Pelodiscus sinensis: one gene and its partner. The protein of the gene in region 1 interacts with the protein of each later gene in a biochemical or structural test. Links are inferred from orthologs where the notes say so. Each region holds a gene or a part of one and is shown in the gene's direction. Other genes may lie near its edges.

Region 1 (7,773 bases):
ACAACATGCTAGAGGGACGCCATGGAATGTCCTGGGCATTTGCAGGATTGGAGCAATCTCCCAATATTTATATTCCTTTTAAAACACTTTTAGAAGGATTTTTCTTCCTAACCTCACGTTGATGCCTATAACGGGTTTTTTTTCCAGCAACGAAAAATTGTACTGTGGAAAGTTAAAAGTGAAACGGCACTGAACTATCAAATGCACACAATGAGCAATCTGGTGAGAAAAGAAAAATATGTACATTAGTTTGATTCATTTCTTTCAGTTCTAGTCATCTGGAGCATTACTTTTAACTATTGGAAGTCCAAAAGAACAAGGTCACACAGCTAAGAGTGCAGGTCAACTGTTTAAGATGTTTACTGTACTGTGGAAAGCAGCAACTCTGAAAATGACATGAGGTCATGGTAGATAAACAGTTGAATATGACCTTCCAATGTGACACTGTAGCTAAAAGGGTGAATGCACATTAGATGGATAAACAGGGGTATTTCAGGCAGAAGCTAGGATGGGCTATGTACAAAAGTAACAGCATTACTGGATATTGTGTCCTGTTTGGATGGCCACACTTCTAAAAACAAGCTGACAAGATGGAAAGAGATATAAGAATGATTCAAGTGTTTGGAAGACTCGCCTGACAACGTGTGCTCTGTGTGACAGGAGGAGGTTAAAAGATGGCTGGACGACGCTACATGGGAAAAAGATTCTTGACAACAGAGGGGTTGTTAATGCAGCAGATAAAGCTAGAAGTTGATCCAACTGCTGGATATTCAGGCTAGAAATGACTTGGAAATGCATCTTTAAATCAAGATTAGACATCTCTTTCTAAAAGCTTCACTCTAGCTCAACTCCCAGATCTGTGCTCAATGCAGGAATGTCGGAGATGGAGTCTCAGGCTTAGGTAATGCTGGTGATCAGACTGGATGGTCAATCCTTTTTGGCCTTGGTCTCTATAAACTCTGCATTCTGGTTTGATCTCCCAGGTGAACAAGAATTTAGCAGAATTAGATGGGGGGGGGGGGTCCACGATTCAGAGACGGCACCAGGGTGGGGATGGGGGAAGAGGAACTCTCCTAGAAAAATAAGTTATTGGGATTGTCTGGTTTACAGAGCAGATGAAGAAATGACACATGATAAAAGTATATAGAAAAATGACAGGGATAGAGAATGGGGATGGGCACATCATTTCCATGTCTTGTAGCATAACTGCAATGAAAATTTCAAGAACACTTCAAAACCAATCAAACAACATTCTTTTTCATGTAATACACCACCAGCCTCTGGAACTCACTGGCACTTGACACAGTTAAGTGCAGGATCTCAAAGGAGACTGGAAGCTCATAAGGAGGAGACCATCGAGGGTCAACCCGAAAAAAAGAACAGGAGTTTTGGAAACCTCCCATTTCAAAAGTTAAGCTATCTTCTAAGTATTGGGGGAACCCACCTCCTATCAGGTTATTCCAAAACAATGTAAAAGTTTTTACACGTTCCACTGAAACACTCAGCTGCATGTAACCCAGGTCTGATCTAGTGTGGCAATTAATTCCTATGGCTGTGGTATTGTTTAAGTGGGAACACTTTGAAGAGTATAAATTAAGAATACCCTCTACCAAATCTAGCAGGTGAAATCTCTGCAGAACTTGGGAGGGTGACAATATAGACATATGAGAGATTATTATTTCAATAAAGTGCGTATAGAAAAATACATGATGTTTGCACTAGAATGAGGCATTTTTCATACTAGAGATTTTTTCTCCAACTCTGGCAGTGTTTCAGTAGAACCAACATTTTCTGGGTCAGGAGGTCTCTCCTCTGTGCCTAGCACTGCAGAGTGAGAAAAAATCCTTGCTCACAAGAGCTCACTCCCCAAGTATATTTGAGAGATATACTGGGAGAGAAAAATGCACAAAAATGTACCTTTATATTTGTAGGTACCAAGGGCCACACTCGCAGATCAGCACATCCCTGCAACATGTGTCCACACCAAGGCCAAACTTGATCCTCAATACAGTTATATAGATACCGGAGATCATTCTGATTCTGGGGCAGTGCCCTGGGTATTATCCAGAACAGTGTTTCTCAATCGGTGGTACAAGTATCCTCAGAGGTACTCAAGAGAAGTTTGGGGGTAGATCAACAACTGAAATTTGGAGAAAACTGATTTTTTAAAAAAGTTTTACAGCACTTTATTATTTTTGTATTTTTTACACCCAAAAATTTCATCGCCAGCTAAGCTACGATTAAATTATTTAAACAAATGTGTTGCAATGGTAGAAAACATTGCATGTCTGAAAACTGTAGGTACTCAAGGTACTTATGGTTTTTTTTTTTTTTTTTTAAAGGGGCTACCTTATACAAAAAAAGGTTGAGAAACACTGATCCAGAGTCTCTCCCACCCAAAGTGTGACAGCTCTCGCCTTCAAATGCTGCCCTGGGATCCTTGACCATGACCTGAAATGGAAGGGATTATCCCACAGCTTTGGGGCACTCCCTTTAACCAGGAGATGAGTTGGCAGTTCCAAAATGACAGGCTAACATTTCCCTCCCTAGGGAACCTAAGATGCATCCCAAAAGCATGGCAAGCACTAGAGATGACCAATCATTCCTACAATCTGGGTTCAAAGCCTCTAAAAGGAAAGAGATGCCCAGCTCCACGTGCTTACTGCCCCCCTCACATTCCCTGTTTCCCCCTTTCATAAATGATGCAGCCTTATCCCTTTTTCCAACTGAGGTCCCCCATTGGCCGATTCTTCTATCCTCTGCATTGGGCCCATTTCCTCCTATACACTGGTCTCTTCATTAGCCTTCTGAGACTCCCGCCCGTCCTCCCTTTCCACACGGCCCCGTGTCCCTACGTCTCCCAAGATATCCCCCGTGCCTCTCATATACCCTCTAGCCCCTCCTCTTTAAATCCCACCCCCATCATTTAGCCCCACCCCCTCACTTACGCCATTCATCTTCGTTATCCTGGTTGCGACGCAGCACGGGCAGCCGGCAGCCCTCGGTCACCTCTCCCTGCGGGCGGGATGCAGAACAGTTAAACAGGAACCCACAGGAATCCCCCCGCCGGACCCCACCCTACACATCCCACTCACCACCTCCGCCATCTTGAATGCTCGCCGGCGAGCGGGGTCTTCTCTTCCGTTCCCCGTGCCGGGACGTTTCCGGGAACGCGTGGGGGCCCTTCCGGTCTGTTATAGCTACTTCCGGTCCACTCAGTATATGTTGCTAGCGTTCGGCCCTGCTCAGAATTACTTCCGGCAGCATGATTAACTCCTTCCGGTCCCAGCGAGGACCCGCTCCGGGGCTGTTCGTGGCGTTCGCCTGAATCGGAAAGGAATCTGAGGAGTTGGCGGGACCGCAGTTAGCGGGCGAAGCACGAATGGCGACAGCGGGAGATTGCCCCACGTACGTGCGCAGCTAGCTGGGCGCATGGGAGAAAATCATGTGACTCGGACGTGACGAGGCCTCTGGAGCGTTTAGCCTCACGAGGCCGGTTGAGGGCCCGGCAGCGTTTCGAGGGGTCCCCGAGATTCGGCTTCCCCATCGCCTTCCCTCCCTCCCAGTTTCTAAAACCGCAACCAAGTAGAGGGGGGGCCTTCAGTGGAGCCGCGTGACACGGGCCCCTGGAGCCCTGGGCCCGACAGCTGCTGGGGCCCACAGCCACCTAACTTGTAGTAGCCAGAGACTCGGAGCCAGGGCTCAGGAGTTCAAGCTTCTAACATGTCCACCTGCTTCCCAGCCCTTCCTTATTGACCTCGTATCGCTGCCGGGGCAGGCGAAAAGCACCCTTTCTGTGTCCAGGTAGGAAGCTTAAAGCAGAACTAGGACTAGAGCCCAGCTTTCTAAGTTGGTGTGGCAGCATCTGTCTCCATAGATTTCCAGTAGTTTGCTGTGGCACCACTTGCCTTGCCTCAATGACCCCAGGAATCTTTAATCTTCTTTTAGAGGGCTTTCTAGTTCTGTCTTGTAAATCACCCTCATATCAAGTTCTGACTTAAAGAGGCTGTTAATAGGTAGCCTTTTCTCTATGCTTGCCTAGGATCCCCATGTTGCAAGGTGCTGTAAAAACATAGAACCTGCCTCACAACCTATAAATCCAGAAATGACAGGTGGATACAGCCATGAACAATGAGACAATCTGGTCTGCATGCTGGGCAATGGGTTCACCACCAACAATCTACATGTCATGCTTTTTGAAGCATCCCATCAAAGGATAGTTTGAAGGAGCTCAATGAGATAGCTTTGCATGCACTTACAGGGAACTCATAAACATGAGTGATAGCATAGGAGAAAGGATGAAGAGGCTTAGTAGAAATATAATAAGTATGCAGTAGGGATGTGAGTGTGTATCCAAGTACACGATTAATCAATGAGTCTGGGCTCATTGCTTAACACTGTGTTACACGCCCCCCCCCCTGCTGCCTTTGACACATAGGCAACAGAGGGGGGGAGGAGCCAGCTTTTAAGATGGTTCCCATGTGTACCAGCTCCTGTCAAACCAACCTCCTCCCGCACTGTTGCCTCAGTGGGTGGGAGCTGGTATGTGCAGGTAGCCTAGCCTTCCCCCCCCCCCCCCCCCCGTACTGCTGCCTCCCACAGAGCGGTGGGGGATAAGGAGGAGGTGGGAGCTAGTGCTCACAGGAAGCCTCCTGCCCCCTGCATTGCTTCCTCTGATACAGAGGCAGCAGGGGCGGGGGGGGGGGGCAGTGGGAGGGAGGACAGGAGCTGCTGCTGACGACAGGGACCTGACTTAAAAACCAGCTCCTTGCCAGCACTGGCTTCCGCCTTCCTTCCCACTGCATGTAAATGTGTAGCCACTGGAAAATTCAATGGTTATAGATTTAAAATGTGTTTATTTGTGTAACATCCCTTTTAGGCAGTTAATGCTTGGCAGCATGGGCTGAAAATGAAAATGTATAGGTGCTGGAAGTCAGGGTGCTGCTGCACTCTTTGGCTTGAAGTGGTTTCCATTATGTTTGTGGCTTACAGTTTGGTTCAATGACTCTCAGCACCTTCTTGTAAAAACTGTTCCAGCAGCCCTGTAAGAGATGAGTCAGATGGGGATTGGCAATGGAGGGCCTTGAAAGGGAAGAGAAGCAGCTTAGACTGATACAGGAGAAAAGGGAGGGCCAAGGAAGGGAAGCAAAGAGAAGTATGTCATGCTCAAAGTGAGAGCCTGAAGAATGATATTTGCACCAGAAAGGAAATGAAGCACAATCTCTCCAAGGTTATGTCTACACTGGCGGGTTTTTGCGCAAGAACAGCCATCCTTCCGCAGAGCCTCCACACTGCTCGCCAGCTCTTACACAAGAAGATTTACAGTAAAGTGTGGTAAGAGAGGGCTTCTTGTGCAAGAACTATGCTCTTTTCTAACAAATGTAAGCTCTCTTGCGCAAGAGGGCAGTGCGGACGCCCAGCAGGGGTTTCTTGTGCAAGAAAGCCCTATAGCTAAAATGGCCATCAGAGCTTTCTTGAGCAAGACAGCGTCCACACTGCCATGGATGCTCTTGTGCAAAAGCACATGACAGTGTGGCCGTGTTCTTGTGCAAGAGTTCTAGCACAAGAATCCTTGTGCAAGATGTTCTTGTGCAAGAAGCTGCCAGTGTAGACATAGCCCAAGAATTTGCTGGGGGCAGAGGTAAGGTGATATGGTTGTGTCCTCTTTAAGGGAGGCAGCATGAGTTTATTAGCTAATGGTGCCTATGGTGTCCTATAAACAGGGAACAGAACAACAGTGTTGCTAAGAAATAGCCTTAATGGGCCACCTCTGGGATTTGAATCCCCAAAGGCAACTGCAGGGCCATTTATTCAACCATTTACTGCTGTGGACATTTGGCCTAAAAAACCCAATGGGGAGGCCACAGCAGCTGTAAGACACATGTTTCCTGGTTCCTTTGTGGCCTTCTCATAGCCTATAGGGCACTATAATGTCCATGCACAGCCCCATATGTAGCCTTGTATCACCCCCACTCTGGTCCCTGTATAATGCAGTAGGCCCTACCCTACTCGTAGTATGGTTTATGTCTCATGAATTGGTCCCTCTAGTCAAGGGCTCCATAATGGTCCCGTGTGTGATTCCTGAATGACCCCAGAGCACTCTTGGTTAGGTTCTTAATAGCCCCCACGTTCCCAGCTGCAACATGGCCCCGCCGCCTCTCTTGGCTTTGCAATTTGCCCTGGCTGCCTTCGTCGCTTCTGCGCCTGCGTGGAATCCCCCCCCCCGCGCTCGTTTGCATGAGGCGGGGCTTTCCCAGCAGCGGGGCGGATCACGTGCTGCGGGCATTTCCGCGTGCGGCGTAGTTTGCGAACGGATACGGCGGGTGCTGGACCCGATCCCGCCGGAGGACCCCGCGTGGACCACGCCCCTGGCCCCGCCCCTGACGCGGACCCCCGATTGGGCCCGGAGCACCGCTTCCGCCTAGGAACCCTTCGAGGGGCTGGACCCGCCCACGATTGGACTCGTCTCCCGCCCGGACAAGCTCCTCGGGACGCCCCACCAGCAGCCCTCTCCCGAGTGGGGCTGGGACACGGGGTCGGGATCCCCCTCCCGCCTAGGACCCGCACAGGAGCCACAATCCTCCCGTTCCCTCTCAGAATTCTCTCCGTTGGGGGCCTCGCCCCACAGAGGCCCCCATCCCCTTGGAGTCTAACCCCCCCCCCCCCCCGCCTGCCGTTGTACTGAGACACCCCCCCGAGCTCGCACACGTCCTTCTTGTGGACTGGGGTTTGTTTCCTGAGCCCCGCGCAGGAGCCCTCCCCAGCCTCGTATTCCCTGGATTCTTCTGGCTCCAAAGCTGGGAGCCCCCTTCCTTGACTCCCTCCAGCCAGGGAGCACCCACCGCAGTACCTCCTGTATTCCTAGCCTGGAACCTAGCCTGACTTATGGCAGAAATGGAAGGTAAGTGTATACGCTCACCCCAGCAATAGGGACTTTCCTCAAATTCAGGACCCCCATTTAACTCTGGGGTATCTCTTCTCCTTACCTTCATCTCTGGAGGGTTTGCATGAAATACTCATACAGCGAGTTACTGGGACAGTTGGATGTGTAAACGCAGTTGAGCTCATACAGATGTGAGTGTGGGGGGAGCACCCATTACTGGAGTGCTGGTTATGAATATGGGGGGCTTGAAGAGAAGCTGGGATTCCCCAGGAGTCTGGGTTTCCCCCACTTTGTCCCTTCTCCCCCCACCCCACCCATTATTTCCTCAACTGGGCCTCTGTTTTGTTTTGGAAAAGTATTGTGATGGTGGCTTGTGAAAACTGCTTCCTAGGCCTTGGTTGGCAGTGATTTCCCTGGTTGCTTTGGGGGTAAGGCAGGCACAGTGGATTTGGGATCTGAAATGTGGGAAAAGGAGAAGAGGGGGAATTGGTGTCTCTTAAGAAAGGCCAACACACTGGGAAAAACACAGGTGGCAGGATCCTTCAGACTGGAGGAAGGGCTGGGCTTGAGCTGACTGGACATTACACCATGGAAATGGCATCTCTGACTTGATGTTTTGGGCCTGTAACCATTAACACCTAGTTCTTATGTAGTGTGGCACTTTCCATATTATCCCATAACCCAGAGCTCTTCTGTCCCGCCACATCTGGGGCGGAAATACAGACACACAGTAAATTACTAAAACCGGAAGTGGTTTGTTTGTTATGTGTTTTAGACTTGAGGAACTCAATTTGTTTAGCCTAACAAAGAGAAGGGGTGATTTGATCAGACTATGGATAATTACCAGAGGAACAGACACTTGATAATGGGCTGTTCAATCTAGCAAAGAT
Region 2 (7,679 bases), on another chromosome or scaffold:
CCTCCAGCTTTGTATGACCCAAAGCATTGTGTGGTGCATCGTGTTATTCTAGCAGTGAAGGACGTATGGATTATTTGAAATTGCAAGGACTTCTTAAAATTATGTTATTTGCTGATTGCATTGATTTTCCTGCTGACCCATTGGTCTCTACATGATGATGGTTTGACCTGTGATCCTTAAACTGATGCAGCAAAGAAAATTGCCAAAATGAGCCACTAGTGAACTGTAAGTCAGTTTGGTATCTGTGTATCTGGAATTCCACGGTGTGTGAACAGTGTGTCTTGGGGCCCAGAACACAGCCTGAAACTCAGCAGACTGGACCTCTATTTCTGGTTCTGATGCTGGGTGATCCTGGGCAAGTCAGTGTAACGTGCTATGCCTCAGTTTCCCATCTGTAAAAAAAGGGTTAGTGATAGACATTTCTCTTGTCAAGCACTTTGCGAGCTACTTGTGTAAAGTGCTATATAAGAGCTAGGCTTATTGTTGTCTGATGGAAGACAGGATACTGGGCTAGACGGACCTTTGGTCTGTCCCCGTATGGCCATTCTTATGATGCGATGTGCAACAGCTCAGTTAAAAAAAAATAACGGAGTGGTGACACAGGGCTTCTGCAGCTGTTCTCGTGGGGTAGCTCTCAAGTTTGATGTCCTTATTCAAATCTATGCAATCCTTAACTTGCTTGGTTTGACTGTGGTGACCATGCGAGTACCCTAAGCAGTTGGAATGTGTGTTCACTCAGTCGCATCGAATTTTACTGCCTGGCCAAGTTCAGCTCTTACTTTATTGCTCAATGCTAGCTGCACTTTACAGAGAACATGACCCAAAAAAGAGCTCTATGGGAGCTCAGAAGCAGGTCTCTCTCACCTACAGAAGATGGTCCAATATATCAAGGGCATTCACAATTACAGATTGATGGTAGGGAGAGATTGCCTGATTGCCTCCACTTCCATGCCTATTTGCGCTGCTGCCATAGCACCCCTATTGTGAGATGACTGGGAACCAAATTCATGGGCTGGCAGCCCTAATCTCATCAATTCCTGTTTCAATCCCAAGACCATTTGATATGCCATGAAGGGACTCCCATCCCTGTGTTTGAAAAGGGGTGCCCTCCCCCCTTCCACCGTATTGCCACTGTATTACCTCGAACATGTATTTTGCTGTATGATGCATCAATAGAGCCCTACGCAGCTACAAAATTTGTATCTGCAAAAATGAGCCACAGATATCTGCATCCACATCTACAGATGCGGATACCTATGGATATAAAGTGGATATCTGCAGATTTGCAGGGCTCTTCGCTTCTAAGCCTCTCAAATACCTTTCGAGACACTCCCAGACCATTTCCTGCATTTTGATCAGGTTTTGCACCTATTTAAATAGATATGCATTTGCAAACTGCTCTTCAGTGCAAACCCATTGGGTCCTTCTTGTTCCAGTGTTTCAAACTCTATGGAGTGAAATCTGTCCTTATGCTGAGACACTGGGATACCGTAGATAGGTGGGCTCATTATGTGTTTACTATATGAAGCAAGCTTAGATATTTAACACTGGGTCGTCACTAGTATTTTTGTATTTGCCTACTGTGATTATGTGGCACTCAATTTCCCTCTCTGTGCTGGAATTCACTTTTTGTTCATTTATTTCCAGCATCATAAACCAAACTATTATATCAACTTGCTCTGTAAGGGATCTATCAAAGATCATCGTGAGAGCTGTCCGTCCATGAATGTATTTTGCTTTTATACAGCGTTTCAGATTGTGCTGAAAGCAATGCCCTGTGCAAAATGGTTGCCTTTATTGTGTGTATGACACCGCATCCCTTGGGCTGCACACCTTTCTGTCATCTCGTGATTGCTTCCGCATTCACTGCATCTGCTGTTTACTTGCCTTTGTGTTCTGTCTTTATGCATTTTTAATTAGTTGCACTTCAGTTCTTTCACTGCTTTTTAACACTTTGAGAAGCAGTTTTCACCAGCCTTGAAAATATCCAGTCCTTTGCAAAGTCAAATCCATTTCTCATAAACACCTTGCTTTGACCTATTTATCAGTTATGCCACAAGTAATTCTGTCTCTAATTAGTATATAGCTATTAACTGTTCAAATTTGCATGGCCTAGCTTTAATACACAGGTTTGTAACATAAGGATCAACGGTCTCATCTGGCACTAGAGAAAAATATGCTTTTCCCAACTGACTTTCTTGCATGGATCACTGTGCTCCAAGAATTTTTGAATGAAATGTTAAATGGTTTCAAAAAAGAACAAGATAAATTCATGGAGTATAGGTCCATAAATGCTTATTAGCCAGGACGGGCAGGAATGGTGTCCCTAGCCTCTGTTTGTCAGAAGCTGGGAATGGGTGACATTGGGGGGGGGGGGGGGGGGCTCACTTGATGATTCCCTGTTCATTCCCTTTGGGGCAACTGGCACTGTTGGAAGACAGGACCTTGGGCTAGATGGATCCTTGGTCTGACCCAGTCTGGCCGTTCTTGTGTTCTTATGCTGCATGTTGCAATTTGCAGCCCTCTTCATGCTCCCTACCATAGCTCACCAATATTTTAGGCTTGTCCCTCCCAGGTAAAAGTGAAGGGAACTTCACCCTCACAGATTTCTCTGCCATGTCACTTGCTTTCAGGAGAATTTGGAAGTGCTGCAGAGACCATGCAATAAAGACGTGACAGGCGGGAGTTATGGGGCAGGGTTGCAAAAGGGTATATACCCTTCACCTGACTGCAGTGACTCCAGTGACTACTGTTACAGCCCATTGGGATTCCAGGTCTGAAAATTCCTAGCCATGTTGGGTTTCAGCTCTGGAGTTACTCACAGCCAAGACATAAAGCAAGGCCCCTGAACACAACATGTTACAATAGTTCAGCTGATACAGCTCTTTCATCTCTATCAGTGGGTGCATACCTCATGCTAACACCAATTTAGGGAGTACCACACTGCTAGAGGGGGCAGGCATCTGGTCATGGGCACGATGTTAAACCATGGCCCCTGCTGTTTGCATATAGGTGGAAAATAGACTTCCTTTATCACTCCATAAGAGATTGGAATAGCCAAGAGAATCAGAGTAATGTCCAAGGCTTGCTCACTGCATAGCTGGGGGTTAAGTGACTATGTTCAGTCTGAAGGCTACAAGGAAACCATTAGGGTTTTTGGGGCTCTGGCCTAACTTTTCCAGCTCCCAAATTGCACTGCAGGAAAGGACATTTTAAAGGGGAGATGCATTCAGCACAACACAGGAGGAGGGATCCTGTGTGAGAAGAAAACAGAGAGTAATGGTAGAATGATTATGTTTGTAGGGCCTACAGCAGTGGTTTTTAGCCAGGGGTATATGTACCTGTGCGGGTACACAGAGATCATCTGGGGGGTACATCAATTCATCCAGATATTTGCTTACAGGCTACATAAAAGCACTAGTGAAGTCAATATAAAATAAAAATATCATACAATTACTTATTTATTCTGCTCCATGTACTACATACACTGAAATATAAGTACAATATTTATATGCCAGTTGATTTATTTTATATGGTAAAAAGGAGGAAGTCAGCAATTTTTCAGTAATAGTGTGGCTGTGACGCTTTTTAAATATTTTAATGTCTGATTTTGTAAGCAAGTCGTTTTTAAATTAGGCGAAACTTGGGGGAGGGGGACATGAGAGAAATCAGAGTCCTGAAATGAGTAGCCATGTTTCAGAGGGGTAGCTGTGTCAGTCTGTTTCAGCAAAAACAAGGTGGAGTCCTGTGGCACCTTAAAGACTAACAGACTTATTTGGTTATAAGCAGGGCTCGACAAACCGCGGCAAGATCTACTCGCCAGCCCCACACCGCGCATGCGCCAGACCAGCACTGTGCATGCACACAGCACCGGTGAACGGGGCAACTGGCTGAAATCTACTCGCCACAGGCAAGTAGATATGGCGATTGGTCGAGCCCTGGTCATAAGCTTTCATGGGCTGGACCCCCACTTTGTCAGATGCATGATTCATGTTATATCCCCTTCACCTGGCAGGTGTAGTAGCCACTCACTCCAGCGGCTACTATTACAGCCCACTGGAAGTTCCACGTCTGAAAAATTCAGGCTGATTTATGCATCTGACGAACGGGGCAGCGTAGCGTGCGAAGGTTGAGAGCCACCGGCTTAGAGCAGTGTTCCCTCTAATCTTTTCAATCCAGATGCAGAATAAATTTTTTATGTACACTGAGTCATGTGTGAAAGTGCACTGCCAGGAGAAAAAAAACTCTCTGTGGGTGCTCTGCCAACCAGTGGGGTGGCATTGGAGTCTCAACTGTGTGGCTGCACAAGCCTTAGCTCATAGGGAACTTGGGCCTAGACACACAAACCCTACTGTGCCTAGACCCCTATGAAGAGGATCCCTGCAGCCTTTCTGGGACTGAGTCCTGCCCACAGAGGGGCTGGAGCAGTTTTTGTACTGGGCGGGGGGCGGGGGGGGCGCCATTGACCCAAATAGCACAGAATGGAAACCCTTTCAAGCCAGGGCCGCTGCAGCATCTTTGGAAGGGGGAGGCCCGGGTGACGCGTTAGCTGTTCAGCCGGAGCGGGAGTAGCAGGAAGCACGTCCAGGGAGGGAATGCGCTGGAGGGAGGGTGTTGCTAGCTGCACCCGCCTGGGGAGGGGAGGCGTTCCCTGGCCCGGGAGAGGCGCTAAGGTCCCTGCCGGAGAGGGGAGCTGCAAGGGGGCGGGCGCTGGGGGGAGCTGCAGCCAGGCGGGGGAGCGCAGCTCGGCTTTGCTGCAGAGCCGGCTCCGGGGGAGCGGCGCGGAGCGGGGCTGCTGCAGAGCGGAGCGGAGCGGAGCGGGGCGCACGGCCGGGCTGCTGCGGGGCGGAGCGGGGCGCGCGGGGCAGCCGCAGCCGCAGCAGCAGGTGGTGCTGATCAGCCGCAGGACGGAGCCGCAGCCGCCATTAGACAAAAGGCGAGGCGGCCGGAGCCGAGCGGAGCCGCAGCCCGGCGCGGGGACGCGGCCTAGGCTCGGGCGCTGCGCAGGGACAAAGGCGGAGCAGCGGGGCCCGGCCCAGGCAGCAGCCGGAGCAGCCCGAGCCTGACATGATGTTTCCGCAAAGCCGGCACTCGGTGAGCCGCGGGCCCGGCCCGGGGGCTGCACCGGGGCGCGCGTGGGGGGTGCGCGTGGGGGGGGGGCGCTTAGTGCGTGGGGGAAGCACGGAGCGGGGGGGCTCTGCACCCCACGGGGGGGTCGGCGCACAGGTGGGGGCTGCTCAGCGCGCTCTGGGGCAAGCGCCGGGGGCTCCTGCGGGTAAGGGGATGCGTGGGCGGGCCCGAGGCAAGGGGGGTGCGGGGGGAGTTCAAGGTTGGGCTGGAGGTGTCGGGCTCGGCGGGGCGCTGCGGGGGTGGCTCGGGGCGCCTTGGTCCAGGAAGTGCAGCGGGGCGAAGCGGCCACTGCTCTTGTGCTGGGAAGACCCTGGCAGCTGGGCCAGCCAATGCACAAGGGGCGTCTCTGCCTCGCGTGGGGTCTGGGGCGAGCTGGAAGGGACACGGGGGTGCTGGGTGGAAACCGCTTTGGGCCCTGGGGGGCCAAGTTGGTGTTTTATGAGGGTGAGGGGCGGGGTGCAGGTGCTGTCTGGGAGAGGGTGGTATGTGGGGGGCAGGAGACGGGGGAGGGGTGAGGGCACTTTTACCTGAGTAGCTCTTTTCCTTTTCTTGAAGCTGGCTGCTCTGCTTCTTCCAGTTTCTGTGAGGGGTCGGTGCACTGATGGGAATATTTATCTCCCCCCCCCCCCCCCCCCCGAGCTTACTGCCATCGGGGCTTTGAGCCCCTGATTATCCTGATGGGAAAAGAATAAATGTTTATTGTTCCTCCACTTTTTAATACCCGAGTCTAGATAGAGCCGTAGAGGAGGAGGATTGCCTTGAAACAAACAAACAAACAAACCCTAGGCTGGCAGATTGGGGTGGGTTTAAATATCCCCTGGCCCCTATCAACTCTCTCTCTAATTCTGGGGTGTTGCCTGGTGGCAGAGGTGCTGTCCTTCCTGTTGCTAAAGGAGGCAGGAGGCATTGTGAGCTCAGATCAGCTGAGTGAAAGCTTGGCTCACTGGTTGGGATGCCAGCCTGGGACTGGCGACTGCTGGATTCCATTCCTAGAGCCAGTGGCTTAGTCTGTCCGTGCCTCAGTTTCCTGTCTGTAGAATTGAGGTAATAGCCCTGCCCTCCCTCACAGGGGTGCTGTGAGGCGAAACGCATTAAAGGAGGCCTTTAGAAACTGGGACCTCTCCACCTTCCTGATTGCCGTAGCTAGCAGAGCAGCAGCAGGGCTGCATGACCGTGGGCCCCTTTTGGGGCCTGTGTTCCCCATCTGAGGGGGCGGAGGCGGGGAGAAATAGTTCTCCTGGAGGTGGGGCTTTAATTCCAGGTCCTTGGTGCAAGAGTGCTAGGGAAGGAGGCTGATGCTGCAGTCATTGCTTGGGGGTTGGGGGTGCTGCCCAGTGCTGACCCTCATCTGTGGGGACAGCTGTGCTGGAGGGGGAAGGCTTGTCTGGGCATCGCTTTCCCTCCTGCCATATTGCCCGGCGCTCTCTTCTGTGTCCAAAGGGTTCGTCTCATCTGCCGCAGCAGCTGAAGTTCACGACCTCTGATTCCTGTGACCGGATTAAAGATGAATTCCAGCTCCTGCAAGCTCAGTACCACAGGTGAGCCTAGTGCACTGCGGTGCAACTAGCCGCAGCCTGCGGCTCTCCATGTCTACGGCCCACGGGGAGCTGGCGGGGATGCTATTCAGGGCCCATGCCAAAGTGAGTGTTGTCTTGGTGACGTCCCTCCTCCCAGCCTGCCGTAAGGGATGCTCTTCTCATCGGCTGCGTGCTGTCACTGCGATGCTCTCAGTAGCTAGCCAGAGATGGTGGCAGTAAACGATGCTTTCACAGGTGGGTCCCAGGGGCCTGTCACTTGCTCGCTTCTGCCATGAAGTTTTCAGGATTTTTTTGTTAAGGGCTCCTGGGGAGGGGACGGGATATTCAGAGGTTGACTTGCTAGATAGAGACATGGTGATAGACAGGAAGGAGGACCGGCGCAGTTTCTTGCAGCCTTATGTACTGCTGCAGTTGTCAGAGGATGACTCGTGTAGGAAACCGAACTGACCCTCACAGCTGATCCCCCAAGGAAACAGACCCGAGCAATGTGCTTTGGAGGAAGATTCCTTCACAGCAGCCAGATTTGAAATGCGATGGAGAGCATGATTGCCTTGGCTAAAATGGCACCTAGTTGTGGGGGGAGGGGTGGGGGATGAGTCCTGCTGTGTTATAACCCTGACGATCATGAAAGCTGAAGGCTTTAAATTCCCCCCCTGAGCAGCAGTACTCCTGGTTTACCCTTTGCTCAGCTAGGACAATGAGGACTAGCCGATTGCACTGTGGCTGGGAGTTTGTAGTCTGTGCTGTGTTCTGTCTTGCCCACGTGAACCCATTGCAAACACTGCTGGGAAATGCTGAAATCTCAATGTGCATGTTTTCCAATAAACCTTTCTAGTGATCTTAAGATTTGGCTTTTATTGGAACAGAGCTTAAATCAACCTGAGGGTATCCTCTTTAATTATCTAATACACCATTGAGATCTCTTCATTTTGTGTCCTTATGCATATGACTTTGTGGCTGCTCGCTTGTTCTGCTCTGACTTTCCCATGTGCCTTGCGTCCCAGGCGGGGC

What was found.
Region 2: the proteins of RELA (region 1) and TLE5 form a complex in vitro, tested with the Homo sapiens proteins (2 studies listed by BioGRID). The link is inferred for Pelodiscus sinensis from reciprocal best matches to the Homo sapiens genes RELA and TLE5.

The regions. Positions count from the first base shown.
Region 1 is NC_134721.1:32,635,290-32,643,062, reverse strand, and holds the start of RELA (transcription factor p65), read left to right. Parts: upstream 1-4,717; 5' UTR 4,718-6,885; coding exon 6,886-6,901; intron 6,902-7,773. Other genes in the region: histone acetyltransferase KAT5, read right to left, coding at 2,949-3,015, 3,096-3,107. UniProt on the Homo sapiens protein: NF-kappa-B is a pleiotropic transcription factor present in almost all cell types and is the endpoint of a series of signal transduction events that are initiated by a vast array of stimuli related to many biological processes such as inflammation, immunity, differentiation, cell growth, tumorigenesis and apoptosis.
Region 2 is NC_134729.1:15,388,617-15,396,295, forward strand, and holds the start of TLE5 (TLE family member 5), read left to right. Parts: upstream 1-4,657; 5' UTR 4,658-5,067; coding exon 5,068-5,094; intron 5,095-6,570; coding exon 6,571-6,668; intron 6,669-7,679. UniProt on the Homo sapiens protein: Transcriptional corepressor. Acts as a dominant repressor towards other family members. Inhibits NF-kappa-B-regulated gene expression. May be required for the initiation and maintenance of the differentiated state.